Styela clava: one gene and its partner. The protein of the gene in region 1 binds, or shares a complex with, the protein of each later gene. Links are inferred from orthologs where the notes say so. Each region holds a gene or a part of one and is shown on either strand. Other genes may lie near its edges.

Region 1 (15,625 bases):
TTTCAACTTCGAATTATTTTCTGCTCGTCGTGTAAGAGGGTGCGAATGCCATTGCCTGCTTTCCTCGATTAAGTTCTTGCAAATAGCTGAGGTGCGTCTGAAATGTATGCATAAGTGTACTTGGATAATTATTGGTTTGTAAATTACATACATAAAATGTGCTGATCTGCATTTGCAACTACATACCTTCATACGCTCTTGTTGTCTTCCAGTCTATAGTCATCAGCAGCTACAACATCATAAATCGGTTCTTGTTTTACTTGGGCCTCTTTATCAGGTTCTTGTTTTACTTGGGCCTCTTTATCAGGTTTATTTCTGAAATGAAGATATAAATATGAATCTTTGAGTAAAGTTACAAATAGTAAAAATATTTGACTTTATGAACCAACTAAATATATTTATTAAATATCATTGAAAAAATATATTTGAAGGTACTTCCTAAATAGCCTAGCTTCTCATCTAAAGCTTTGTTTGTTGTATATATATAAATTCATAAACTACGAAGCTTGAGTATTGTTACTGGGTTTTATTACTCTGAATGACATATATAAGTAATACACAGAAAAACAATATATTTTTTTTACCTTTTAATCTTTTTATGATACATTACAAAAGCTGTTATAACAATAACTAGTAAAAGAAATGGTGCAGTGAATCCAACCATAAAACTTGCTGCATCTAATTTAAAGCCACGATCATCGAAGCAAGAATTTTTAATATTTCTATATTTCTTTTTACGAGTCCATCCCCTAGGACCTAAAAAATGCAATCATGTATTTAATTAGACGTGCCAAGAATAGCTATATTATTTTAAATTCGCTTTTGTATTAAAAGTAATGATCTAGTCCTTCATGTAATGGTTGCATGGGCTGGGATCACGTTTTACAACGGCATATGACGAAGTATTATTTTTACTGCTGCAATGCACAAATGAATTCACCTGCGCTTATCGCTTTAACTAGAACTTCTTACTTTTAACAGAAGTTTTTTCAACGCGCATTGGCAAAGAAATGACACTACTTCAAAAAGTTAATAGTCATCAATGTTTTTGTATGGTTTTTAGCTGGAATGCTTTAAATGAGAAATTTGACCTAATAAATATTTAACTTATTCTGAGTCATAGCAGTGAAACGGGTTTTCATTTTATCCACACAGCTGTTTCAAATCTGTTTTAATAAAAATATAGAAATGTTTATTTGCTATGTTTCCGTTTTCCACATGCATATGTAACGAATGAATCATAGGGGCACTGCAATTTCAGACAATTAACTCATGCCTCAAGAACGTGCCGATTCTCAATATAGAAATGTTTTGATATTTCAAAGCAGTAAAAATTTACATAACTCATTTTATATTACACTCACATTTCTTTCGTTGGCAAACAAATCCCATTCCCCCATCTGCACAATAATAATCATGCCAGCGTAGTTGCTCATCCGACTGTCTAAATCCCATGGTTACGCATGTTTGTATTCCTCTTACATTTGGTTGACCTTCATTCCAATTCTGATACTCCATCGGTGTTCCATCATTCCACCGAAAAGTGCCGTTATTGTGAACGTCGCGCAATCCAATGAAATACCCTGATGCTTTCCCTATTTGTGATGTATGGTTAGGAATAGAAATGAGTGTATGATCCCAATCGCCTTTCAAAACGCCTCTTTCTCGTAAGACTATCGGGCGTTTGTGCCGTGGTCTCAGCAAAACTTTGTATATATAAAAATCCTTCAATCTTATAGTTGAGCCTTACAGTAATTTAATTGCACGTAAAATATGTTACGAAACAAAAAACTCAATTATTAAGTAATATTTAGTTTGAAATATATGCAATATATGAATATAATATAACATATATACATATCATTTACCTGTACATTCTAATACCAAGTTTCCGATGAATAGTTGGGTTTTTTCCGACTTTATGAACGCCAGTTCTCCGCCAACCTTTTTACAGGATGATTCTGCTTCGTAATATGTTCCAGTAAAGTTTCCAGGTGAAATATAATATTCATACGACCTTTTGCCACTCAACCAAACTCCTCTTTGTCCTGAAAATAATTTGTGGCACTATTGCTTTAATTTTAATGGATATCCTCAACTCTAGTTGAATTTGAATCGTTGTCCAAATAACCAAACAGCACTGTAGCTTCGAATAATAGATCTTGAGTTCGAGCTTGAGTTATACCGACGACAAGCCAATACCCTTCGGATTATCAAGCTGTTTTTATTTAGGTAGGATATTTTAAACATTGTCCATTTCAAATACGATTTCTTGGGAATTTGAGAGAGATACTTTATATATATATATGCATGACTGCATGTAAACTCCTGTAGTTCGGTACAATATAAACGAATAAATATATTTTAGACTTATAAACTTTTCATATTTATATGCTACAAATAATTTTATCACAGTGTATATAACAATTACGCTACAGTAGCCTACTTACCGAAGCAAATTTTCATCATAACCAATAAAAGTAAAATTATGATTTCATCCAACGCAGTCATTCCGAATTGCGCTAGTAATTTTCTATATAAATTACAAAAACAAGGTTGTATCATCTACCCCGAGGCTTTACCATAAAATTGCACACATACATTGTGTTTCAAAATACGAATGAATAATGCAAACTAAAAATTAGGATGGTTATGAACTAAAGTCTTCACCATGATCAATACTTGTCACGTTGAGACGAGATTACGTCATTTCACGCAATAAAACATGCAATAGAAATAAAACGACACTAATATCGGGTTGATCTGTACTCTGCCTAACGTTGTTTATCAGGAAAAATCAATATTATTGGAAGACTGGAAATTTTTGTAAATAGTGTATAAACTTCATTGTGAAAAACTGACGCGTGAATTTTTCATCTCGTCAAGTTGTTTACCATTGTGTTTGTGAGTATTGTTCATGCGTTCTGCAGCAGTTCTAACGTTACTAGCGAGAGTTCAGGTCTATGATCTGCTTATTAGTTTAAATCAGGGGTGACGAATCTATTTGCTGTCGCGTGCTATTTTATCAGTCACCGCTGAGTGAGCGGGCCACACAACATTTTAGTCATATTATGATACCTGTTGATTTTCATCAACAAAACGAGCAATTGCATTCATACAGTTGATGTTAATAAATTATATATTGCAGCAATAAATAAAAAAGAAACATCCAATGAATATAATACTGAGCGCTTTCTTTATATTAGGGCGAACTGGCGATGTGAAAACTTCCAACTGCATACTAAGATTTTCGTCTGCCAGCTTCGACCTGTATCGATCAAGTTCGGTTTTGGGTGCGGCGTCATCTCACTCGGCCGCGAGCTCCGCTCGGATGTTCGAGATTCGAATTTCGTTCGAATACCGCAGCATTTTTAACACGAATTTTTTGGTCAACTATACCGGTGTATAAGTGTACAAATAAATTTTATTGTACTGAATGAAATGAATTGTAGTCTTTAATATTTCATCGCAGATCTAGCGATTTCTCTGACGTCGATATCTTGAAAATAATCTTGGTTGTTAACATTGTGATAGAGCGGAGTCAGTGATGCAAGAACAGATCTAATTCGTATAACTAATTCGTAACAAAGCAAAAATACGAATCAAAACTAAATATAATCGGGCTGTTTGTAATACTTTTCATGGCCGTGGATTGCTGTGATATTTCATTAAAATTTTCTCAATTTGTCAACGCAACCGCAGGTTACATTAAACATACAATTAAATTAATAAAGCAAAACTCGTATTGGTCATCATTGGAATACTATCCGCAACTGAAAAATCATTACTCGACAACATAACATAACAGTAAAATCATTATCCGTTGTGGCTGCAGGCATTCGATCCCTTCCTTAGTCTGTTGATGGAATGCTAGCAGACGAATCTAATAACAATTCAATGCAGCTTGACTCGTGTTTCAATATTTTAATAGCATGAAAATCCAGCTTCCACAGGACATCCGTCAAAAAAGTGGGCTCTTTTCACAAGTGGCCTACCTAATTGCGACGACAGTTGCATGAAAATTTTCAGATGCTTTCCTCCTCACTTTCGGTAATTTCAACCTACGCCTCCGCTCAAAATTAAAAAAATATTTATAAATAACCCAATTACGTTTTTGGGGTGGGGGCTAAGATTGCAGATTGCGCCGGAAATTCGAATCCCCAAATCAATCCTAACCCGAACCCGAACCGCAACTGAATAATTACCAATTTGGTATTTCAGAACGCGGTGTTTTTCTCAAATTTCACATTTTTAAATTAGTAGTGGGGGCTTTGTACAAAATATCTGTATTTTGCAAGCTTTCAGAAATTATAAACGAATCCATCCTGTCACGATTAACCGATTTTTGAAAAGCAGGCATTTTTTCAAGACCTTCCATTGTTTCCATCATTGAGCTGAGGTTATAATTTTTTTTATTAATTTTAAATATCTCGTGTATCGTGCGCAAAAACATTACAATTTCAGCACCTGACATCTACTCCATTTAACCGTATGCGTTTGCCGATAAAACAGCGTAATTATGCTAAGACAATGGACATTTTGATCCATTTTCAAAGGTATTGATGATCCAACAAAAATAGATGTAGCCTATCGTTGCTAGTAATATAAATACCACTGGCGCTCCCGTTTTCTGTGTGCAGTACCTAAAGGGGTATGACTTTACGACAAACATAATTATACTGAATCGCCTGAATTCTTCGCGGGCCGCACGAAATTTCTTTGCGGGCCTCAGGTTCGTCACCTCTGGTTTAGATGTATGATACAGTGTGACACAAATATATATATAAATTTATGGCAGTGCTAGGCAATTTATTGACAGTGCTTTGTACGGTAACCCGACGCTTTTTTAATACCGATGCGTCTTTTAGCCCGATATAGCCCATTTGTATGGATAAAAGCACAATATAAGTAATTTAATGACGGTGCGCCTTTCAACCAGGAGCACCTCATAGTCCCTAAAATACGGTAATTTGAGTTTATAGGTATAAATCTTCAATGCGTTGAGATCATGTAATTTAAAATTGTCTTACTATTATTTTTTCTTTTCATTCTGTATCTCTAGTACAAACGAATGAACATTTTCATTCAATTTTGTTTTATTTTATTTTTATTTATAAATGTTACTTTATCAACATATCTTTTGTGATTATAACAATGTGTTTTGAGACCTAAACTCAACTCGGAATAACCGCGGAATGTAGCAATTCATTTTGTCCTAACTGTTGCCAATGAATCAGAATACTGTATAGGCTATCCTGTCAGTTTCAAGATCTTTATGGGAGATATATTGGATACGCAGCCAGTTTGAATAGTTAAATCATGCGCCTGAATACTAATTCTCTGTGTCGCGATAAATTACTAAAATGTTTGAATTTGCAAGCGTAATGGCAGTGATTTCATTTATTAAGCTTCTAATGCACGAAGTTGAGATCAAAATCAAACAAAACGCTTTTACCCACCAAAAATAAAATTGGGTACCGAAAAAATAAATACAATTGAAACCAGACAATAAAGTCCGGGGAATCTTCTAAGTTGTAACAATAAACGTGTAAAATTGATGTAATAACTGATGCATTCAGCAATGCAGATAAATAACAAAACAAAAAAAAAACACATCCTCCATTTGTCGATATAAGAATCTAAGTAGATTTGCGAGATGAACAAACATTGAATTGATTTGAGAAGTTAACTTGTAGCAAAATTAAGAAACCAAGTCCAGAGGCATAATACAAAACTAAACTGCTGTTAATCGCTAAAGTGACCATCAATGATTCCCCTAGTCATAATCGGTTTTTATTTATTTATTTATTTTTACCATTCATTTTATTGTCTTGCTGATTATGGAGTCGAAATAAACTTATACTTATACTTATACTGAACTGAGTTCTTCATACTCCGTAAGGAAGAAAGAATCATGTTCATTACCCAATTAATTTTGACTCCTCGCACTGCCGTAATTTTTTACACAGCATTTTTGAAAAAACTCGTCAGTGGTGGGAAGAAGTCCAACAATTTGGGAATATCGAAATTCAGTAAAAAATGATGAAAAAGATGAAATGAAAAGTAGTATGCGTTCATTTTTTAAGTGTAAACTGGTAAGGATTTTAAATTTATTTCTGTAAAAGCAAGCGAAAGAAATGATTTATTGTTATATGAGCACATGGATGATCTTATACATAGATCAATCATGATTTAAGTTTATATGCAACACCATACTGTGAAAATTATTGAAATTGTATTATTGGTAGCCTACATCATTTTCATGAGAAGATGGTCTATGGACTGTGGAACATAGGTGGCGAATAGGAAAAACCCAGTACAAAAGCGTGTTTTTTTCCATATTCCTGTATTAGTGTATTCCCTGACTAATTTTTGTATTTTTATTCCATTTTTCATGCTAACTAAAATAAACTGATTACCTGGAAATAAAATTATATATAACTGCCGAGTGGATTAACTCAACTTCTTTGAACATATATGGATTATATTACCTTAAATTAATGATATCATGGACATGGTAATGGTATGAATTTTGTATTTATTTGGATTTTACTCTACTATTGATAGATATATTGGGGGAATGGGATTTAAATTTATAAAACAAAAAAACATGGAAACAAAAATTATGTACCGTATTTAAAATAAAATGATTCGATTCCAAAATATTAATACAAAAATTCCGTTTGGCATTGTATTTATTTGGCAAAAAAGAAAAAAGTTTAAAGCTTTTGAATTCACAATGTTTGAATGTGGAGCTGTACAGAAATACTAAAATATATGCGATATATTTTGAAGTCAGAATCTAAAATCTTCACGTTTCAAACCTAACTTGAGGTTTTGTTTGCTCTCACGATTCTATAATTAGTTTTATTTGTTTTGTTTTTGTCTATTACATTTTATCGCCTATTATGCTGGTTATAGAGTCGAAATGAACTTATACTTACAGTATAACTGTATAAGCTGTCGTACATTTTGTATAGCAGTATAAGTTAGGTTCAGACGTAGAATGCTTTGTGATTCGTATGTCAGTATTTAGCGCGTGGTACTGCTGTACTGTTGTAGGAGAGCATGAACTAGCCTATAGCGCGGCGGTGTGGCTCAACGGGCTAAGCGTTAGGAATACGCTCGCCACCGCACCTCTAATTACTCTGCGTGGGTTCGCAGATTTGAATCCCATGCAGGGATGGTTATGTGCGAGAGGATTGCTGGACTCCTCGCCGTCGTTGGGTGGTTCATGTAACCGCTGGTCGGTTACGGCTTCCTCCACCATCAAGTCCATGCTTCCGAAAACAAACAATATAACTAACCATACCCGACTTAAAATGGTAACCGGACGAGAGGCCGTGGTTCGCCATATGGATAAGCCGTCTTATCGGCTTTACTCTCCCCAGGGAGAAGTATGTAAATCCTATCCTACATCTTTTTATTAGGATTATAACAGTATAAAGACATGTCTGCATGTATCGTAATGCTGTAATAGAATAGATATTTCTGTGCCTGAAATCCTAGAAATCAGGGGTTCCTGATTTAAGCGGCCTTTCGACTGACAGAGAGGATTTGTATCACAGCACAGCAGTACTGTACCGCCGTACTGGTACTGCGGTATCAGGCGTTTATGCATTTCGAACCACGCAGGCTCAACTACAGACAGACAGAGATACGTTTATCAACAACGCGCAAGGGCTCAATTGTCATTATTACCTATTCCTTTGATCGAAGTGAAATATTTCATTATTTTTTTATTCTGTTATTGCTGTTTTATTATTTTTATAAATGGAGATAGAGGAAACCTTAAATTTTTGATTTAATTAAGTGCAACCTATTCATTTGCTTTATGTATCTCTGTTCGTTATGTCCTTATGTCTGCTGGTATGTGTACTATTTTCAGTGTACTATTTCTAAGCATTTCTAGATAAGATGCCTGACACTGTGATATGAAGCTAATTGTGTTATGTTTTGTTATATCTTCAGTGTCAATTAGAAATTTGAGTTATCTTATTATAACCTTGTGATTTAGGATTACAAAAACAGAATGAGGGAAATTCCTTTGTCAAATTGTGAATATGAATTTGTCACAAAATGTATTGGAGAATCTACAAGAATGGACGGAAGAACTTTTGCAGATTATCGGGAAATAAAAATAACTTTTAAAATGGATTTTGGATGTTGTATTGTCAGCTTGGGAAAAACTAAAGTCCTTGCGCAAGTCCGTGCAGAAATGGACAGACCCAAAGAAAGCAGATCAAGTGAGGGAAACTTGGGTATTTTTGTTGAAATGTCTACAATGGGATCACCTAGCTTCGATCCCACAAAACCAGGAGAACTTGGAATAGAATTGCAACGAATGTTAGAACGATCTATAATATTATCAAAAGCTGTTGACCTGGAGAGCTTGTGCGTGCGAGTTGGAGAACAAGCATGGAATGTATCACTTCATGTGCAGATTTTATCCCATGATGGAAATATATTGGACTGTGCTTCTATAGCTTCGTTAGCAGCATTAGCACATTTTAAACGACCAGATGTTTCTGTTATAGGAAAAGAAGTAACTGTTCACACTTTTGAAGAAAAACATCCCGTGCCTTTAACATTCAATCATCAGCCATTTTGTGTGACTTTTGCCTTTTTTGATAATGGTACCACATCCATTATCGATCCAACTAAATTAGAAGAAAATTGTTGCGATGGTAAATTAATGATAGCAATGAACAAACATAAAGAAGTTTGTTGCACACAGATGAGTGGTGTTGTACAAGTTAGTAGCGATCAAGTTTTAAAATGCACAAATATATCTTCAGTAAAAGTCAAAGAACTCAGTGAATTTGTAAAAAAAGCAATCGCAAATGATGAAGCTGCAAAAAAGAATGGTCTTAAATCGTCTCAAACTAAATTATCCAATCGTTCAACAAAAACAAAACCAGATCTTGATCCTAAAACGCACATCGCGTCTGTCGAATCTAAAGTTCATTTACCTGTGATTCAACAAAATGAGGACGAAATTCAGGGTCCATTAAATAAAAATGAAACAAGACAAAAGCTATCATGGGTTATGAATAATGGTGGAAATACGTTTACTGCCGGGGAGGACGGGATAGAAAATACTGCTACAGTTGCCATGGAAACTGAATCAAAACAGACAGATATTAAAATGGAAAGTGATGAAGAAGAAGATACAGTCATGTTGCAATTAACCTGAAATTTATTCTTTGTCTAAATATAATAAAATCATATTGTTAAATGTTATTAATTATTAATATTTTTGAGCAATTCGAATTTTTTAAACATTTTAACACAAATTAGCATGCATTGTTCCCAAACAGACTTTTGGACCGTTACTCTAGTCTGTAGACATTTTCCATAATATTCATCCATATTCAACCACCTTTTTCTGTTGCGAATTTATTTCGTAATTTTGAAATGAGCTATGCAACAGCATGCTCTATGTTGTACTTAATTTTCTAAAATACATAGGTCTCTAGTTTTCAAACATTTTGAGTATTGGGATATCCTCCAAAAGTCAAGATAACCCTTCTAACCACTTACAGTTCGTTTTTAACTTCTCGTCTTTTGAAAAACCCACAGCATACAATTATGGCTGTCATTTTTGCAGAGTTAACTTGATTAATTTACATTGTGAAGCCAAATAGGCACAAATCTATGGTTAACAAACATGGAATCAGGAGATTTGAAACTAAAACAAGATTTTGAAGATCTTCAGCTTCAGCAAAGACAGAAAATGATTGACAGAATGAAGTCCAAGAGCCAACAAAGCAATACAAGCATGGTATCTATGTTTTTATACGTTGCTTTCTCCTCAAACAAGGCTCTGTATAAGCATAAACTGATAACTTAATGGAGATTATTCGGAAGGACCATGAGATTTCCGACCTAATTTAATAAAACTGGGTCTTGGGATTTGAACCAGAAATCGTTATGCTCCTTAATAAATCTAAAATTACAGTCATGATTAAAATTTGATCAATTACTAAGCATTGTAAACAAATAACAAAATATTAAATTTGGGTATTTTATTAACTATTTTCTTGTCAGCCTCCACATATGGATACTTTATAATAATGCAATTTCATCACAACTGCTGGAACGTTCTAAGATATGCGACCTGCCTCATAGAATTCTGTGAAGAGTTCTTTATTTTCAGATGTCGAACAGTCAATCATTTGGTCTTGGTGATGATTTAAATCTTACGACTGAAGACGTTTCATCGAGTAATATTGCTGGATTACACACTGCATTGGAAGATGCCAATACCAGGATGAGAGAAGAAATAAGGTGAAATTTTATTGTTGTTTATCTTGAAGTTTTAATTCAAATTAATTTGCTTTTAATATTATTTTTTTTGTTTTGTTTGTTTACCTGTTAACAAGAAATTGACTCTTATAGCCAGTGACCTTGATTGGGTAACTCTCAGTCTACGACATCTTGTTACTTGTTTATAGGGTGTTTCACATCCTTACGAAAAACTACATTTGTTTTAAAAGAATCTCTGAGATTTTTTAATTGGCATTTTTAACCCAATATTCGGCCAATTTGGCCGTGATCTGAATAAGCATTAAGCAGTCATCAATTCGATCACTAATTACTATATTTCTTATCTTCTCAGCTTAATCCTTTCAGTTTGGCAAGAACCACTATAAGATATTTTTACTCTCATTAAATAGTGACATTCAATTTTGTTTTCAATTTCAGGGAATTAAAGGATGAGACTGGTAGACTGAGAAAAAACTTAGCTGAGAAAGATTATGATATAAAATCTTTGAATAAAAAAATCTTGAAGATGGAAGATGACAAAAAATTATTAGCAAGTATGTATCTTTCTATTATTAGATTACCTTTCATGAAACCTTTCATGTTCTGATTTAAAAAAATGTAGTTAGACGGTTTGAGCTTCGTGCTAATAATTTGGTACATGATTGTCATCGTACGATGAATACCCCGCATTCGCAGCTTTGAATCCTGTGAGGGTAAATTGAGTGTAGAACACTTTCTGTTTTGGTTACTGTTCTACAGTTTATCCAACTTAAAGTCCATGCATCCAAAATGAATAGCTGGCTAACTGTTCTAGTACCCAACATGGACTGGTAACTGGATGCAAAGCAATTCGGTATGAGAGAATTGTTGGGCCAGTCCGTCAGACGGCTCACATAGCATTAGGTTTTTTTTTTTCTCTGTCCATGCATCTGGAACGATTATTTAGTTACTTAACCTGTTTGATAACCAGACAAGAGACTGTGTTCTGCCATATAATAGCATATTTCTGTCTTTGGCAAAATCATGTCCTATTCAAATTTTCGTTTATTTAATATATAAATTGTTTTTATGTAGGTGCTGGTGCTGTATCAGACACGGCTGCAATGAAAATTGTTGATTTATCGAAACGAAATCGTGAATTGACAGCAGAAAGAGAAGCAGAAAAGACTAAATCGCTCAAACTTATGAAACAGTTGGCAGAACTTGAAAAGTCGGTATGTGCAATATGAGGTTTGATTCATGATTTAACTGGCGTATTTTCAGTCGGTATTTGATCAATTATGCCAAGATTGAACCAAAGTTTCTATTTTATATTCAATATTCTCATACTTGAACATGACTGATATTTACTTGTTAAGCAAATCTTTATTGGAATCACGGAATGTCTTATGGCTTCTCAGGTCTTATTAAGTTTAAGCCAGTTAAGGTACTCCAATTATAATTTTCACTTTTTTATGTCAGTGCAAAAAGGTGGAAATTTATTAGTTTGTCAATTATTAGTTTCACAAATGTTCAATTTTAACGTATTTTCGGAAATTGTTTTTTCTTAACTTGTGTGATTTGTGTGAATAATTTTTTAACAGATCGTATTTTGTAATTTTATTTCTTTGTTCGACATTAAATTCAGACCAACACAACAAGTTCAAGCACTCCAAGAAAGAAATTGAGTCCTCGCAATACACTTGCTATCAATCCAGGTTTGTATTTTTTTTGTTTAATAATAAAATTTGCTCAAAGCAAGTTCACACACTTACTCAGAGTCAGAAATATAGGAGATTGATCTCTGAGCGAAGTTATTGGCGACCTCTGAACTGCCAAGAGCTACATAGACTGCAGTTTCTTAGCAATGCAATAGCAAGTGTATTCCCATCGCTTAGCATGAGACCACAACTGTTGATCCTTGTTCCTGGTGCTAATGAAATAATTTACAATTTACCAGTGTTTTATTTTCTGGTCCGTAGAAGTTCCATCAGATAATGTGGAAGAGTTGAATGACAAATTACAATCGTGTTATATAAAGATGGCAGAATACAGAAATCAGATACAAGAACTAAAACAGGAACTGAAGATTGCCAACAAAGTGAGTAGAAATTGCCAGTTATTTGTTTGAGATGCATGGACTTGATGGTGGAGGAATTTATAATGTGCTTACTTCTATTCACCATCTAAGAATAATCTAGGAGAATAACATCAAATTAAATCTATCAAGTTATTAACTCTCATTAACTTATCTCTAAATTTAGGCAAATGAATATAAGTTAGCGATTTTATTCCATATTCTACTACGTACTTTGTTACCTTACATCAGTGATTTCCAACCTTTTTCGATAGCTTTTGTCTATTCTGGATTTCTTCATTACTTCTTCAAAAAACTTCGTATGAGTTAGTGCTATGTGCAATTCACACTCTGACTTTTACACAGTTTCAATAGCTTCTAAGTATCCTCATGAAAACAGTAAACAACATCGATGAAACTACACCAGGAAGAAAGTAATATTTCCGCCCCCAGAACAACAAAATTCCTTTGATAAAAGATGCTCTAAATGCTGTTTTCTACACAATAAGGTTTTGCAACAAGAGATTGGAGAACCACCAGCGACTATGCAACTTATATTAAGCAGTGGAGGATCAGGATTCAGAGGAAGAACTCAACAAATAATGACATTGCAAGATAAAGTGAAGTAGGTGTTGAATGTTTCCACAAATACCAAAAAAATTAAGTCAGTATTCGAATCTGTTCAAAATTATTAAATATATATATTACTGTTAATTTCTTGATTTTAGGATTGTTTTGAATAATTTCGTTTTAAAAATATGAATTTCAAGCAGTGAAAGCCCTGCAATATGGCCAAAGAACACTTTATTTTATTTCTGAAAATTGTAAAAAATGAGACTAATGAAATTACCGTTTGTAAAAACTTTTCTATATTTCTGAATTGTAACTTATTGAATGTATATTGTAAACATATTCAGAATAGTGAATTATTGGTATTCGATTGTGACCCTTTGTGGACGTTTTATATTCGACCTAATTTCATGCTCAATTGAATAACCATATTTGACTATTTCTCATTTATCTTGCCAGGGATTTAGAACAAAAACTGATGACTGCTACAGGACGCGTCAATTTAACCAGACCTGACAAGAATCAAGAAAGAATTAAAAACATGGAGAAACAAAGAAAAGAACAAACTGAAGTAAGGAATTTGTTCTTGAGAAATTCTTGATTAGTTAAAGGTCAAGAATCTGCTAATTGTTACTCAATTAATCTATAATTTAAATATGATAGGATTTTCATATTTTTCCTGGGGGGAGGAAAGCCTATTATTCGTTTCAGATGCATGGACTTGATGATGGAGAAGCTGTAACTGACCGGCGATTAAGTGAACCACCCCATGGGAGTGAGGGGTTCAGCAATCCTATCGCAATATTTTTTGATCTCCTCATTTATGTTTTTATATGATGTCTTATATGCACTTTGCCCAGAAAAAGGCTCTCTACAAGCCCCATTTCTAGGCAAGTAGGTAGTGTGGTATGGAAGGACCACAGTCTTTTTGGTCCAGCATTACCTACTCAAATTATTTCACTCTGAGTGAGGCGGTGGGCGTGGAATTTGAATAAATTTTAGTTTGCGATGCGAACGTAGTCCAACGCTTTACTCACTATACATATTCAACAGTAAAATACTGAGAATATGATTTATTTTTATTGCCAGGAACTTCGTAACGAAATCATGAAAGCAAATGATATCAACATGGATTTACAAAGAAAAATTGATGCAACTAGAGCTCGAAATAAAGTTTTAGTGAATGAGGTTAAATCACTAAAAGCACAGGTAATATTAGACTTTTCAATATGAATAAAATGCTTCTTCAGTGAATAAAAAATAGTTTTCCTCCATCAATTATTTCCTTCACCATATTTAATAAGTTAAACGCAACAAACAAAAGTAACATAATAAAGCATTATGCTCAAAAGGATTATTAGATAAATCGAAGTCAATTTTCTTTAAATTATGACAGTCATTGCAAATTGGTAGTTTAGTGAGGGCCTTTGCTTGTGGCCCTCGGTCCTCTCTGGCCCAGGGCCCAGTTTGAGAGACCCGGTCTATATTACGACTAAGTTTAGTTTATGACTGAACATAATCTTCGATTGTATTCAGATTTCTGTCCTGACAGATAAAGGCACACATGATAATGAGTTGATTATGACTCTGATGAAACAACATGAAAATCTACAGAAAATTGTCGAACATAATGTCAGTGCTAAAGACAATATACAGAAAGCTGGCATTGTGGTAAGAATTGAAATAACTTTTAAATCGGGTACTGGAAGAAAAAATTCAATATAGCATATTTATAATTTAATTCTTGAATGGAGAAATGGTAGCCCAAAGAAATAGATACCTATGCATAAGTTCAGAGTATACTTTTCAGTGGGTTATTCCGACCTCTTCTTGAGCAAATAGATTTTAGAAAAGAACCTTTTTATTGTTTTCAACAGTGCTTTAGATCAGTAGGAAAATAAGTACCTCCGCTAAAAGGGATCACAAGTTTTTATTATGAGTGTATTATCATGTCAACCCAAGATTCATATATATAAGTATAGCAAAGCATACCTTTCATTCCTTCGGCATGAAATTATTTATTTCATATTTGTGTTGACAAAAATTTATGAACCATGTACTGAGTAGGTCTTCAATTATATTTAGTTGTTTGATAATATCCTTTGATTTAAATCTATTTTCTTACTTTATTGCCGTTTCCAAAGACCCAATAATATATATCAAGTAGTGAATAAACATTGATTAGTAAAGCTGTTTATTACTGAAGAAATCTCTATGACTTGTGTATATAGGATGTTCATCATATGAATTGCTAGTCTGATTTATTGAAGTTTACCATACAAAGTTTAATTAACACTGTTTTGTGAATTTTTTACTTTTGTTCGTGAAGTGTTATGAGTGCAATGTTCACAATGCTTTGTTTTGTTCAAAGCCTCATAGAGTGTTTATAGTAATAATATTTTCAACACGTCATTGTTCTGGGAAGATTTTGCCATAAATTAAAGACCGGGTTAGGATCATTGGTTTCCCACTCGAGTTTGTGGATTTACGATTAAAGAGTCAATGATTAAATGTCAAAAAATTTTATTTTTTGATAATAAAAAAAAATCGGATTTTTTAGAGGTGGCATCGAATAATAGTGTGACGCAATATTCATTACAGGAGATAAAAAAATCCAAAATGTACATTTTCCACCATTTCCTCAAAACAACCTTTTCTCTATTCACCTTTATGGGTTAAAGTCCCTACTTTCAAATTCAAGAAATAAATGAATAAAAGTCTGGTGTTGAC
Region 2 (16,008 bases), on another chromosome or scaffold:
CGTGTTTTTCGACGGAACAATAAGTTTTTCCGTAAGTGATACACGAACTTTATTTTAGTAAAGGTTGGTTAGACTAGATTCGATAGCATTGGAAAAAATGTGAAAAATATAAATTTGTCTGAGGTTACCTTGTTCGAATGTTTCTTCTTTTTCCAGGCTTCTCTTGCTTATCTTTAATCTCCACAAAACGACCCCTTCGTTCTGCCTGTATAATAAAAGATTGCAAACAGTTTGTACTGGAGTTTGACTTACTAGGAGACTTTAAATTGAACTCAAAAGAACGTCAATGAAAATAACAAGGTTTCGATTCTCAGATTCATAGACATGAAGTCGAAAGGCAAAAGAAGTAGTACGGATATGAAATATCTCACAGGAGTCTACCGGCACCGCAGCCTTCTCCACTTCGCCTGACCACCAGATAGAAGCGAACGCGGAACTGCCGCAATGTGCGCGATTTTTGATGACGTCATCGCACACAAAAAACTAATCCCATGGAGCGCACAGAAATTTAAAAAAAATCTTTTAGCGAAAAATACAATCTTAACCACTGGAGGTTTCACTGCAATTAGTGTGATAGCTAATGAGAAAGCGATTTTTTTCATAACAAGAAGAAAAGAAAGAAAGTAATAACAGGATGATCAATAACAACTTAATATATAACAAAACCCTTGGGCTGTACTGGAGGAACCCGGGTTGCAAATCAATAGTCTAGATCAGACATGGGTAAACTACGGCCCGCGGGCCAAATTCGGCCCGTTGGGTAATTCAATCTGGCCGGCCTGATGCTGCCACAACCAAACTAAAACCAAATTTTGCTGTTTTAGCAAAAATTAGCCAAAATTTGTTGGGATTGCGATCAAATTGTTTTCGCATGAGGCTTATCGTTTTCCGCTTTTGTTTTTGTAACACTGTGTATACTGTCCATAAAATGTAACTTTCCCTTCATACTTACATGGCCTCGTCAGTGTAGATGGGCAAAAGTTTTGGCCCCCGGTCTAAAAACCTTGCCCACCCCCTTGTCTAGATTCTAGAATTTATTTAGCTTTAAAATTTGGTGTTTATAGCTTTGTTTCACCAAGAATTATATATACTAACATAACTCACCTAGTTTTACTAACTATAGGTGGGAGGTTGTCCGGTAACTTTTTGTCTGGTGGTTTATTCGAAAAACATTTTCCATTGGAAGATATCACTATAAGCGTGATATAAATAATACAAATAGAATGAACCTCCCTACTAGCCATCATAAACTGTGCAGATACTTTGTATAAAAAAGGAATATTCAAAAAGGAAACTGAGTTTATTTTGGAAATAACTTTGTGTACAATCTTTGTGGAACAATCAAAGTGTGATGGATTCATATAAAAATGCTAAAATATGCGTACACGGACGGCGTATAACTACGTCAATATTTCAAAAGCTGTCAAAGCAGCGACTATTTGTAATGGACTATGAGTTTCATTCTATTGCACACACACCAAAAATGAATTTTTGTATTGCATTTTATTCTATAAACGCTTATAGATATGTATAAAATTAGCAAAAAAAGAGCAGTATACAAAACATATTGGTTTTGAGAAAACAAGTTTCGTTTCTAGATATAGGAAGTAACAAAAAGCACAGTCCTGATTGATAATAGCAACACGTAGAATCTCTCTCTCTCTTTCTGCCGCATTCGCTAGCAATTTCGTTACGCTACTATCTACGGTTATCGAAAACTGTGTAATTTAAACTCAAATATAATTTTATACTTATTATTATATACTCAATTTTGAAACCCGAAACACTAAATTCAAGTAGGCCTATAGCTTCATCGTGCTCAAACTTTCGATATCATTCGAAGTTTTCGAAATTAATGCTACGCACATGTAATAGAAAATTATGAATGGTACGGAAGTAAACAGGAAATAAACTATCTGAATGGATGTATAAAGTGCATTGATACAAGCAGTAGAAACTTTCTTCGGTGACATACTTGGGATGGTTTCATTCATATTTAATAAGTGTTATATCATTAAAGTGATGATCGTCATTATCGATATTTTGAATACCACGTCTTCTCAAATTAATGTCCAACCCAAATGAAATCACCACCCTCTATCCAGTCATACCAAGTTGAAGAATAAATATATCATTGAAAATATTGTTTTCCATAGCTCGAAAGCCTTCATACATTATGAAATGGAATAGAATATTGCTTTTAAATTCCATCTTGCATGGACAGCGGCATAGACAGGGGGGTGTATGATTTCCTAACGCCTTGTCGGATATTATCACGCACGAGATAGTTATTGAATCTTATTCAAATGAAGGCCAATAAAAAAATTCAACTTTCATTTTTAATTTGCTTCCGGCGCTGCAGTGGGACGCACGGGCGCGGCGGTGTGACTCATCGTGTGTTAAGCGTTGGGAATACGCTCGCCATTTATGATTACTCTGCGTGGGTTCGCAGGTTCGAATCCCATGCCAGGATGGTTATGTGCGAGAAGATTGCTGATTGCTCCTCGCCGACATGGAATGGTAACCGGGTGAGAGGCCGTGGTTCGCCACATGATTAAGCCGTCTTATCGACTTTCCTTTCCCGTGGGATGAATATGTAAATCATATACTATCCCTATCCTAAAATGAACCAGCAGTCACGTATTTTTTGTGTTTATTTCAGTCTCAAGCCTCATTCAACAAGGTTTGTGTTTCTTGTGAGTGTGTGCTGGTAATCAGTAGTTTATTTCTCACCATACTCAAAACAGGCACAAACATACAAATTGCAATAAATTAAATTATAAATAGGCCATATTTCAGGTGGAGGAGACGCGAGAAACCAGTACCGGTTATCGAGCAGCGGCACCTATAAAATAAGTCTAACACTATATTATACAGAAGAAAAAGTCGAACTAAGTTTAAATAAATTGAGAAAAAAATACATCGAGTCAATCGACTGATTATTACAGGTTGGCTCTAAGTTTTTAACGTTTTATTTGTCAATGGCGCCTTCCGCCCACTTGCATCCAGAACGCGATATGGTACGTCTCATGAACCCTGAAACGAATAAACATTTTTTTTTCTATAATTGTGGTTTTTCCGTGTGGGCTGTGTTTATAATGACCAAGAGTATATTTATTTATTTATTTAGCAAAATCGTGCTGCTAAAAAACAAGAAGTCTTAAAACGTGTTTCATTATAAAATTTAAGCTCAAAAAAGAATTTAATCGTACTTAGCAAATTGCGTCTAACATTTTTGTGTATAAATACAGTAACGTATCCAGTCGCATGTGTATAAAATAAGAATATATACTTTGATATGATAACATCATGTAAGTATTGCAATAAAATATTGTATACATGTCAAAAACATGTATGCGTAAATACCAAATGATAACAAAATACTTTTCATACAACGCAATAAAATAAATTTCCTAAATATCCGAAAAATCGTCAAATTGACCCAAAATTTGAACAAGACCAACCTTTGAGGCTTGAAAAATATTTGGGATATGGATTGACATCTTTAACATGTTTTCAAACAAACAAAGAAATTGAAAAAAAAACTCGATCAGTTTTCTAACAAAATACTTTTATACAACGAAATAACGTAAATTTCTTAAAAATCCGAAGATCGTGAAATTGACCCAAAATATAAACAAGATCTGATTTTGTTTTATTTCTTTATTTGTTCAAAAACATGTTGAAGGTATCATTAATTCATACACAAAATATTTTTTGAGCCCCAAAAGCGGATCTTGTCCAAATTCTGGGTCAATTTAACAAAGTCGGATCTTGATCAAATTTGGTGTCAATTTAATAAATTTTCAATTTCTTTTGTAAATATTACGTTATTTTGTTGTAATAGATATATTTTGTTGAACCTCTCATTCGATCATAAATGCTGTGTGTTATCAGATGATAGATACATAATAATGTTCAATTTACAATTCTACATTTCCGTGACTATTAATTAGAATTTTAGAAATATGTTTTTATGACAGCGTATTATTTGCTGAAGGATTTTGCTGATATGACAGTGGCAATTAGAATTGCAGTGATCGGCGTGCCTTCGCAGTACAAGCAGTCCCATTGAAATTGTCAATTTTCCAAAATGGACTACTGAAGCCAAAGGTTTATCTTGCTTTACACTTGAGCAATTATTTGGCCAAACTTGTTCTTTCTTCGTCAGCGAGCAAAACAGCGTTTACCAGTTTACCAGAGAGTTTATACCATTAATATATCAGTATATTGATGGCAATGTCGCTTTTGCGAACGACTGATTGCAGGATTGCCGTGATTTTCACATTTTACTGTTTTAGTATGAATTAATATCAATTTATTTTTTTGATTTTTATGGGTGTTTGTGTGAGACTGTGAGGGATTGTGTGAGTCGAGGGCTTAGTACAGTAAAGCCATACGGTAACTGTGCAAATAACGCTAAACAAAAATGTGAATTGAAATTTTAATGTAGCCTAATTAAAAAATATCGTAGTCTATAATGCTGTATGTCGAAGAAAAAAATTCTTGAAGCACACGTTTAATTCAAATTAAACCTGCTCAATTTTCAACTAAGCTGGTACTGTATGTATGTCCTATGCCGTTTAGGGTATTGCAGTATTGTGTACGAGCATGAAGGACTTTTATTTTAAAAATAGAATGAAAATTTGGGTAGTTCTGTAGTTTCACATCACATTTTTGTTTAGTGGTATTTCAGTATTTAAGCAAGGATGTATAGGCTAGATTATTCTATATTCCTGTATTCCGACTTCCAGATATTGCGTTTTTTATAGTTTATTTGTATTAATCTGAGCGAAGCATCTTGAATTTCCAACTGTCAGACTGTAGTGGCACTTGTTTCTTGACTGGTATTTATGCTTTATTTTTGTTCTTTATTATTAGCTGTATTACTGCTGTACTGTTTCACAATACGGCACAGTTTTCCAATTGCAAGAATAGCCCTACATTGAAAAACATCAATCATAATAGTGGGTGTGAACCAATCCTTTACGACAGGGGTGTGCAACCTTTTTTATTGGCGGGCCAAATACAAGTAACTGGGTGAAGCCGCGGGCGCACCTTTATTTAATTTAGGCTTTCTGGTAGTTGCAAGCACAAAAATTGCCTATATTTGCTATTGATCTTACGGCATTATTAGGGGTTCTTGCAGAAATAGTAGATTTAAAACGCATAAACTTCTGAAGAAACTGCTATTTAAATTTTTTGTCGCACCGACTTCAAACGAATGCAGTGAGAAACACGTTTTTGTAATATAAATCGTGTATTTTGAAACAGAATTTTGCTAGCTTGTTTTGCTAATATGACTGGTATGGGCTTTGGCCCGCGCATTCGGCCCGCGGGCCGCAGTTTGCACACCCCTGCTTTACGAGACAGTCTGGGCGTCGATATCTGTTCCAGAAGGAAGTGCAATCTAAAGACATCACCATTGGATTCTTTAATCAGAACATAATATTGATTTACTAAAAAAATTAGATTTCGATAGTTTTTAGCCAAAAATCGCAATTTTGGTCATGTGATGGACTGATGGCGGAGACATATCACGCTTGATTTAAACCATCATTGAGACTAGTATGATGCTCTCTGATGCATATGCCATTTCAGGCGATCATAGCTATACTTTTGCAAGCTCTATGACAGGATTGCGACGTCGTAGTGACCTAATTTTTTGCATGGCGTAGTCAGGTGGGGGTTAGGATTGGCATGTGCAAAAATTGTTATGCTATGCCCACTGGAAGTACTTGAGGTACGAAACTACTCGAGACCTGAATATTCTATAAAGTAAATTTAATATTTTTTTTATACACAGCTGAGACAAGTATTGTGTAACTATTGTGCTAAAAATGGGTAAAATTCGAAGAAATAGAACGAAATTCCACTTGTCTACAAAAAATTCACAAATTGAAGAAAGCACAAATCAAGAAATCGGAGTACCCAAAGACTTGGATACTATCCAGCTTCCTCCTTTGTCACTAAATCCTTTCAGTGGTGGTCAGATTTCAACTAGTTCCTTTGATCAAAAGGAACATGAGGAAAAGAAAATTGATTTCACTTCAGATGTAGCTTCTGTAAATGTTCAGGAAAAATCTGCTGCATCTAACATTCATCTGAATAAGAAAAAAAGAAGAAAATTAAAACGTCAAAAGTTTTTGGAAAAATTAGAAGTGACGAGAGTCACAAAAGAAAGCAAAAAAGCAGCAAAGAAAAGATCAGATGTTCCTGTTGTTGGTGACTTGAAGCCAATGTCTCTCGCTTTGAGTGATATAACTAAAATTATCAGCTCTGTTGACGATAGTCAAACTGATGCAAAAATTGTTTCAACTAAGAAAAAAAGAAAACGAAAACCAAAATGGCTGAAAGAGAAATTGAAAGACACAGATCCATTAGAAGGATTTAAGACAATTAATGAAAAGGGAATAACGAAAATACAAAGTAAAAGAACTCAAAAACACATGGTTTATGAAATTCAAAGACTGCAAAAAGTTGTATCGGATAAAAAATTTAATGGTGTCAATTTGATTTTGACAGATGCGAACACAAAAAACGTGGTGTAACGTTTCAGAATTTTTTTGACCCTTTTGCAACTATCCATCATTTCATCATGTAGTGTCACTGGAGAAGCCAGTGCTTGGGGTTGAACTGCCCTTATTAAATTTCAGGAAGACAGAAAAAGTGGCTAATGAGCATGCTGTGTGATGTAAATTGTAAAGATTTGATTCAGTAATAGAATCAATTAGGATGTTTCCGAAATGTAATTGGCCTTGACTGCTTAGGCAAGAAATAATTTACTAGTTAGTATTGAATTCAAATATTTAGATTGTTAAGTTCTTGTTGGTAAATCTGAATTTATAATCCAATATTTTTTTTGAGAATTCTAGTTACATATATATGGTTATGAAAATAGAGCATTTCAGCAGAACTGGAAAGATATTGGATTATCTATTACGAACATAGAACTTGTAAAATATGCAACAATGTAACCTGATATGCTAATACCTATAAAGGATACTCAACATGATTTCGGCAATCACTGGCCAGTTGCAGCTTATTCCATTATTTCTGATTGTCTGGCAGAAATATCATTATCTAAAAATAATTCAATACTTGGGTTTATCTTAACTGAATGAGAGTTTATGCTGTTCTAGTGATTGAGACTTCATGCCAGCTTTTTTTCATATAAAATGATTTTTAAAATTTCATTCTTTCCCAATTTGGATTAATTGTATCGTGTCCATATTAATCAAATGGTAACTCTGCTTTCAGGTTTTATGCAATTATATTACACAGTACTTTATAATGAATATGCTGATGAGCCTTCGAAATGCTGGAGGGAAGCTTGTGGGTGGACTTCAATCAAGATTATTAGTAAGTTCTATTACATGTGTGCGGAGCAAGCACACCTTACCTGATCTGCCTTATGATTACAAATCTTTGGAACCGACAATATCTGAAGAAATAATGCGATTACATCATTGCAAACACCATGCTACCTATGTAACCAATCTAAACGCAGCAGAGGAGAAACTTGCTGAAGCTCAAGTAAAGAGCGATGCAACGGCAATAATCAATCTCGCTCCTGCTCTCAAATTCAATGGTGGCGGCCATATCAATCACTCCATCTTTTGGACAAATTTATCTCCGGATGGTGGCGGAGTTCCTCAGGGAGAGTTAGCTGAAGCTATTAATCGTGATTTTGGCTCCTTTGATAAAATGAAAGAAAAGCTTACTGCATCTACTGTCGCTGTTCAGGGTTCTGGCTGGGGTTGGCTCGGATACAATAGAGAGTGTGGAAGATTAGAAATAACGACTTGTGCTAACCAAGATCCATTGCTTGCAACTACTGGATTGATACCACTTCTCGGAATCGATGTCTGGGAACATGCTTATTATCTTCAATACAAAAATGTTCGTCCTGACTATGTTAAAGCTATATTTGATATTATTAACTGGTCAAATGTTTCAGACAGATTTGAAACAGCGTCAAAATAAATGTTATTTACAACAATAATTTTGGTTGCCACTTTGGTATGCGAACTCTGCATTTGTGTGATCTTAGTGATTTTAGAGGGTTAATTCATGTCTTTATGAGATCGCATACCAAAATGGCACCCAATTTCGTTTTCTATTCACAACTAAACTAATGTGATATTCTGTTGCAAAATATTCATATTTTTTTTTTAAATATATCGAAAGCTTCAGGTGTTTGAATTTGTTTGAATTACTATTCAATAATGTAATTGGTAATTGTTCATAAACAGTTATTCCATCGTTGAGGTAAAATCTGTTTAATATTGTATAATTTATCACAGAGATTCACAACTAGTTACATTGCAAAGTTATAGTTATTTCTTGCGATTATGCCTACCGATTCAAGAAGAATACCTGCTCCGGAAAATAGCTTCAGTCCAGATATATTTATTTCTGATAATAAGAAAACAACGCAGTTATTGGGTAATTATGATTTTTGAATTTATCTTGTTGTTTTTGCTCATCATGTTTCTGTTGTTTCAAGGGCTGTGAAATTTGGTATGTGTTTGCCGAATTCATATTCTTAAACTTTTCAAAGCCAATGTAGAAATTACGTTAACTTTAATTGTCTCATAATTTGGATGAGGTGTAAATTTCTCCTGATTCTTCAGCTAATTGTAATCATGTATGATTTAAAATTATGGGACGCAATTTTACTCATGTATTCATCACAGCTATTGAGAAATTTACCAATGATCTATTTTTTTGTATTTTTTACTGCCCATCTTTTTAATATATCGGTCCATGAGTTAGTTGGTTAACAGAATCCTCAAATACAAAATTAAAGCAACTTTTCTTTCATAGAAAATGGCCGTCGTTTTGATGGAAGAAGTTCAGATGAAGTGAGACCATTATTTTTGAAAACTGGTGTCATATCACAAGCTCGAGGTTCATCATATATAGAAATGAAAAATACCAAAGTTATTTGTGCTGTATATGGACCTAGAGATATTGGAAGAAGAGATGATTTTCAAATGGAAGGTAAACTTGATTTTGCATTGATTTTTCATGTTTACAAGTTAGTTGTAGCCAGAATAAATCTTATCGTAATGTTGTTGAGTGTGATATATTCAAGACGATTACGAGTCAGCATGACTTTATTAGTATGTCAGGCAATGTCTTTTTTAGACTGGGCATTTCCAAAAGTATAATATTCGAATCAGTATAGAGCAAAATTCCAAATCACCATCTTGTTTTTTTTTCTTCCCGCCAATGGTCAAGCAAGTTTTTTTTATTAAAGCCATATTTTTTCGACGCAAATCCTACATATGACCATTTTTCGTAGTGGGTTATTGATAAAGCGTGTTTCTTATTTTGTGTGAATGATGTATTCTATGTTTTCAATAATTCATTTGTTGACAGGACCAATAAAAATATACTATAAAAATGTGCATACAATTATATATCTCCCAGGTATTCAAGATTCAATTCCCAAATAAATATTCAATAGGATTCTGAAATCACCAGGTATTCGAAAATGCCCAGCCCTAGTCTCATTTAGATAGGAATTTATTCATCATCCAGTTACTGTATTAGCCAACAAATCAAATAAAAACACAAATATTAACAACATTCAATAAGTAAAAGAAGGATAATCGACTAACAACGGAATTGATAGGAGGTTGGAAGGACCATACGGTCACTAAATCAAAACAACTCTCCTGGCACGAAAAAGGTTGACAGATTACATTTTATATTTTACCAATTATAAAACATTTTAACTCGTAACTAACAATCAAGCAACAATAGTAATGTGACACATATGAGATGAACTTTGAAACAGAAGTGGCGAGAAAAAGCGTTTAATTTTATATCACACAAAATAAAAAGGTACAACTTGAAAAGGTATGAATCACTACTTATTCAGAAAAGACTGGAAATACTTCTTGGAAAAAACATTAAAACTGGAAATTTCTATTAGGTTTTCGTAAATACATTTGAACGTCAGTTTTTTTATCTTCTAACAGGTGTGTTGAAATGTGAATTCAAATTTGCTCCATTTTCATGTAAACAAAGAAGAGGTCATATACGTGACAATCAAGAAATGGAATATTCACAAGTATAATAAGTTTTTTGTTGCTAGATCTTCAAAGCATATGTTGTGTTACTTGTACACAGTTTATTTTACTAGCGATCTTGAAAAAATTAGTTTGAATGGAATTTGCAATTAATTATATTTGTAAAGTATGTAGTAATATTCTATATTACTGGTTTGAACTACATTTACTTGCTTTGATGAGCATTCTCTAATTTGGTGAAAAAACAATATGTGGCTTAATAAGAATCTTGGCTCAACTATTTGTTTTTATGTGAGTGTACAATTGCACCAATCAAACATTCATATTTGAATTCTAAATAGGTTATTATCAGTAGTGTGGTTTTGTTGTTATCTGTTTCGTTTTCTCACTCTATCAGAGAAAGAAATCTAGAAATATAGCATCGAACTTTTTTCAGATTTTAGCACAAGCTCTTGAGCCTGCAGTATTGATGCACAAATTTCCAAAAGCACAAGTTGATGTTTATGTCACTGTATTAGAAAATGATGGAGGTTCTCTAGCTGCTGGTATCATGGCGGCATCGCTTGCATTAACAGACGCATCTATTGAAATGTATGATATGGTTACATCCTACAATGTACGACTATCAGGAAAGGTATTTTATATTTATTACTGGACAAGTGTCTATTTATGTTATGATAACAAATACTTTAATTAAGCTGCTTGACTTAGTAACAGCCTAGGAAATGTTGTGCCCAACGCCTCTATTTAGCACATTTACCCTTGTTAAACAGCCTGCAAGTTTTAGGAACACCCTCACATTGCTAAGCACGAGGGTCGGCTTAAGCTTTGAGCTCTGGTTTATATAGTCTTGTGAGATACCGAGGGGAGCCCTCTCCCATAGTCTGGTAATGGCATTGGTGAAGCATGGAAATGTAATGAAAGATAGGATAAATATTAAGTCTCAACTTCCAATCTATGTTTATGTGGAACACGGTACTCCCGTCACTGTTGGTTTGGACTTTAGTTTGCGAATCCAGGAGATGTATATTGTTCAACTAGGGAGAATTGTGTCTGGAATGTTTCATTGGAGTTCCATTCCAACAAAAAGGTTGAAAACTACTACTCTATTCCTATCTTTGTGTCTTCCAGAATATGTTAATTCATGATCCAACAGCGTTAGAAGAGTTTGATTCCAATACAAGTGATGGTGCGTTATGCATAAATCAAGGAAATGTTACAGTTGCCCTTCTCCCACTTTTAAACCAGGTGAACTAAAGATAATATTGAATAATAATGAAAGGGATATACGAAGAAATTTTATTGTTTTTGAAAATTCTTCGCCACTGATATGGGAAGCTAGCTGGCAGTGGATACCTGAGCTATTTAGTTTAGTATTGTTCCTCTAGTTTACTTATCCCTTTTACAGAAGATGGCGGATAGTGTGACTGTGATGGCTGATGACTCAACTGCGTTGGCATCGCAGAATGTAATAAATGGGGGAGGTGATACCGATTCAGAAAGATTCTGGTTCTTTCAAATAATAGTAGTAATGTAGCTTTAGATATCAGTGGCTACTTGTACAGGGCCTTGTTCTGAGCGAAAGGCATGACAATAAAAGGCCACCACCAAACTCCTTAGAACAGCGGGTCACCAAACTACAGCCCGCGGGCCGGATCCGGCTTGCGGCGTTCTTTCATCTGGCCTGCAATACCACAAAAAAATGGCACACATGGCGCGTGCTTTGGTGAAACTGTTGCTGTGTTCGTATCTTGTGCTAAAATGAACGTTGAACGTGCATTTTGCGCTAATAGTACTGTAATCTCTCGCGTACTGCTCCATTTTCACAAGTCAAATTAACCTTTGTGCTGCTTAAATGCAGATATTTTTGACAGCAATATTTTGCTAACAGCTAACATCAGGATAGTTGTATAGATTTAGAAATCTTGTATTTTGCTATGATGTTCTCGTTCTATATTCTGCGATATGGAAAGAAATTTCAATATTCTTCTAAAGTCTTCAGAAATGTAGACTTTGCGGTATATTTTTGAATAATGGTCCTGCCTGTTTCAACACAGTTTAAGCCATACCTGGCCTGCGGTCAAAAAAGTTTGGTGACTCCTGCTCTAGAGAATACCGAGTTAAAAAGCTGGATAGAAGAAAGCCTCCTTCGTGAACATGATAAAAGCTTGTCTTAAATCACTATATTTGTTATCTGATATGTTTTTTGTTACAAAATTGTCATCTTTGCCTCAGGTTTCTGGCATGGTATCAACTGGCATCATTGACTGTGACATGCTCTCAGATGCCATACAAAAGTGTACTGATGGAGCACAAAGTATTTATTCTGTTATGCAAAAAGCTGTCATAGAATCCTACAATGAAAATGATGTTACAGATGGTGAAGAGACCTGATATTTACAGCAATGTGATAGGAGTGCACCTCCAAGATGCGTATCGAATATGGAGTATGCTTGATGGTTGGGTCAGGCTTGGCGAAACTGTTATGTGTGGGGTGGTTCCTAGAAAAACAGAAAGTTTGTCAAATGGCTACTAGTATTTATTTTTACATATGATGATTTTAAAACGAGATTGGAACAATAGACGCTGATTGGAAGTGCGCAGACGACATTTTGAACATCTATGAGTGTAACATATGCCTTTAGAAAACTGTAAAAGTTATTCTTTGTAAAAATGAATAGCTGTTTGACAAATTTTCTGTTTTTCTAGCGACCACCCTGTACAAACCAATATAGCAGATATCTGTTGCATGCGTGTTTTAACAATCATGTTAATAAACTATTCTGGAGTGAGAGGAATATAATAATGTATTCTGGAGTTTTAATGTGTAATAGAAGAGTAATACTCAGATATATGAACACTTAAGGCCAAAGCGCAGTTTTAGGGGTGTCTAATCGCTCACAGTGCCGCAGCTTTTACGACTTCGCCTGACCACCGAATGCAGAACCGTCACATGGAGCGCAATTTTTAATTTTGATGATATCATCGCACACAAAACACGAATTTCATGGATCCGACAGACATTTTTGAAATAAGAGTAGTAGCCACATAGCGAAAAATACAATGTTGGTGGTCCAGTAGTAAATATGAGAGAATCGATTCTTCACCAGATGAAGAAAAGAATGACTAGTTATGAGATAACAATCCATATGCCCATTCCGTGTCCAACAATAGGTAAGTTTTAAGCTATTGAAAATATATATATATTTACACACAGCCCATCCTCTACCTCCGTGAAAATCTTATCACTTTTACGTCATGATACATTTATAACTATGATTACGCCGTGTTATCGGCATAATATCCCTACCGGGATATATTTAAAATCTGTTTAAATATCTATCAATTCCATAATGCTGCGATATAGGTTCGGTATCCTGTCATCGCACTGTACTGCATTCCTGCTGCCGTTCCCATAGTTACTCGCACATATGTGCTTGGAGTCGTTTTTGGTTTTGCTTTTCTGTGTTTCGAGCGTCTCTTGGATTCAGGTCGTCTCGATTTTTCACTTCTTTATATTCTTTTATTCATTGTTTGACTTTTTTCATTGTTTTATGATTCATTTATTAGACTTTAGCTCAGGTGTCGCTGCTCGATAACCAATTTTGGTTTTCGCGACTCCTTTCACCTCCAATTATCCGTTTTTGCTCCCTTTTACATTCCGTATGCATTTAGTGTATTTCATGTGTGGTGAAAAAATAAACTACTGATTACTGATTACTGATATGCAAAGATATTTTTTCGGATGGGAACATGCTCATTTTGCGCGTGGGATATGTAAAAACATTCAGCTGACCTAGCGTCGTTTTCGAAGGAACCATAAGCCAGTTAGCTCTCTTTCAAGTCGCGTTGATAATGGGATTTCTTTTATCTAAGCTTGTGAAGCTTTTCAGCAATGAAGGTAACCGTTTTAAAATATAAATATTATGATCTGGTTATGTGTTCATGTTCACTTGAATGCAAAATTATAGTGTTTTTAAAATTAAAAATGACTTATTTTGTAATATCAAAATTCTGGAATTTGTGAGCTAGATTAGCTAGAACGTTTTAGATATCGACTGATACCGATACGCTGTACAAAATCAAACAATATTGGCTATAGCATTTTCAGATACGCTGAACGTTTTGATGTTATAGTCACGATTTAAGTCCTACGGGTACTTGTATAAAAAAAAAGGTTTATGTTGTGATGTTGGGTTGTTACACTTCCAGACTTCAATGTTTGGACATGGTCTTTTCGTTTTGCTCATGACCCATTTAATATAATTCTAAAATTAATTAAATCGAAGTTGAGGAGAATTCTATAATTACTCTTCTGAATTGGAAGTTACGGTAGTACAGTAGTAGTCAGCTGTTTTGCTTTTGCCAGTCTTGGAATCAGTCCGTGGGTATTTGAAATTTTCCTTGCAAATCTGAATTTGGTATTCCTTTAAGCTATGATTCACTATAGGGGTCTAGTGCAGTTTCGTACCTAAAGTACGGTACTTCTAGTGGGCGTACGGTAGCACATGTCAATCAAACTTATTCGACGCATGAAATCCAAATTGGGCTAAGTCCATTTTTTTAGTTTTGAGAAAAACGCAGAAAACGTTTTTTTTTTTGTTTCTTTTTTTTATTTCTCTAATACCTTACATCGAGGATGTCTAGTTTTTATGGTCCACCAAAGTTACAATGAAGGCCATATATTGATGGTATAAAAAAATTTGTGCTTCGCCCCAATTTTTTTTGGTGGGGTTTTTTTTGGACTTAACCCTTTTTGGTTCTCAATTTTGGACCAGAAACAATTTTATTGGACTTAGGGCCCCTTTATTGTGTTATTATAGAGGCTGGTATGGACTTAGCGCTTTGTATTAAATTTTTTGAGAGGAGCTATGTCCAAAAAACGGATTTAGCCCCAACTTACAATGCAGTTATCCAGAGCTAAGTCCACTATAGTAGACACAGCTCTGTTTAGTTCTCAAATGCCCTAAAAAAAGCAGGGTTATGTCCATAGCTGTCTTGAGATCTAGAGCACCTAGAGATAAGGCAAATAGACCAAAATGTAGAGCTAAGTCCAGGAAAATCAGCAATTGAAAAATGTCATTTTTTGGAAAAGTGGACTTAGCACTGTTTGGTTTTGAGGTGTCGATATATCCCTAACTTCAAGCTTTTTTTCTTATCAGAACACAAAGTAATCATTGTGGGACTGGATAACGCTGGAAAGACAACGATACTTTACCAATTGTAAGCATTATTCTGTTATAATCTGTATATTTTACTACATTATTGATGAATTTTCAAATTATATCTTTGTTGGAATATGTCAGTATACAGAAAGAGAGGATTGAAATTGCATTAAGACTTATTACATGTAATATTGATTTCTGTTTATACTACTGTACATACCTATACTTCATTCAGTAATTCTAGACACTTTGTTAAACTTAAAAGAAATTGATATTTTTGGTCTCATTTATTCGAATACAATTTGACTTCACTTGACCCAAGAATTTATTAAGAAGGAAAAAAGCATTAGAAGATAATGTCTTAAAATTTTCATCCTATTTATGTTTAGTTTAATGAATGAAGTTGTTCAGACATCACCTACTATTGGAAGTAATGTAGAAGAAATTGTTTGTAAGAAAACAAAATTTGTAATGTGGGATATTGGAGGTCAAGAATCATTGAGATCATCATGGAGTACTTATTATGCCAACTCTGATGTAAGTTTGAGAAAATGGCTTTTTTACTAATTTCATATGTCAGAGTTGTCAGAAATTTAGAGAATCAAAACCTGCTTTTGTTCTGTTCTGTTTTCATTTGGGTGTTGTACCTCAATGTTGTACCTATTAGTTTTTCAATTTAGGCCACAGCCTCAAGTAATATTTTTCTTTATTTTTAGTTTATTGCCTTTTATCACTCATCTGTGTTAAGTCATAAAATAATGACCTATTTCCTACTTTGGTGTCATATAGTTTTGGATTTA

Evidence for each region.
Region 2: exosome complex component RRP45-like (region 1) and exosome complex component MTR3-like share a complex: the UniProt entries of both Homo sapiens proteins name them as parts of the RNA exosome core complex. The link is inferred for Styela clava from reciprocal best matches to the Homo sapiens genes EXOSC9 and EXOSC6.

What each region holds. Positions count from the first base shown.
Region 1 is NC_135252.1:17,064,669-17,080,293, reverse strand, and holds exosome complex component RRP45-like, read left to right. Parts: upstream 1-7,939; 5' UTR 7,940-8,032; coding exon 8,033-9,196; 3' UTR 9,197-9,611; downstream 9,612-15,625. Other genes in the region: uncharacterized protein LOC120343169, read right to left, coding at 189-315, 585-756, 1,365-1,595, 1,869-2,048, 2,451-2,565; coiled-coil domain-containing protein 13-like, read left to right, coding at 9,671-9,784, 10,160-10,290, 10,708-10,823, 11,344-11,483, 11,897-11,966, 12,231-12,349, 12,835-12,950, 13,355-13,466 and 2 more. UniProt on the Homo sapiens protein: Non-catalytic component of the RNA exosome complex which has 3'->5' exoribonuclease activity and participates in a multitude of cellular RNA processing and degradation events.
Region 2 is NC_135259.1:16,249,347-16,265,354, forward strand, and holds exosome complex component MTR3-like, read left to right. Parts: upstream 1-8,311; 5' UTR 8,312-8,354; coding exon 8,355-8,448; intron 8,449-8,829; coding exon 8,830-9,006; intron 9,007-9,992; coding exon 9,993-10,084; intron 10,085-10,479; coding exon 10,480-10,677; intron 10,678-11,174; coding exon 11,175-11,291; intron 11,292-12,278; coding exon 12,279-12,437; 3' UTR 12,438-12,831; downstream 12,832-16,008. Other genes in the region: uncharacterized protein LOC120338528, read left to right, coding at 5,841-6,551; superoxide dismutase [Mn], mitochondrial-like, read left to right, coding at 7,294-7,986; ADP-ribosylation factor-like protein 5A, read left to right, coding at 13,899-13,944, 15,206-15,266, 15,598-15,745. UniProt on the Homo sapiens protein: Non-catalytic component of the RNA exosome complex which has 3'->5' exoribonuclease activity and participates in a multitude of cellular RNA processing and degradation events.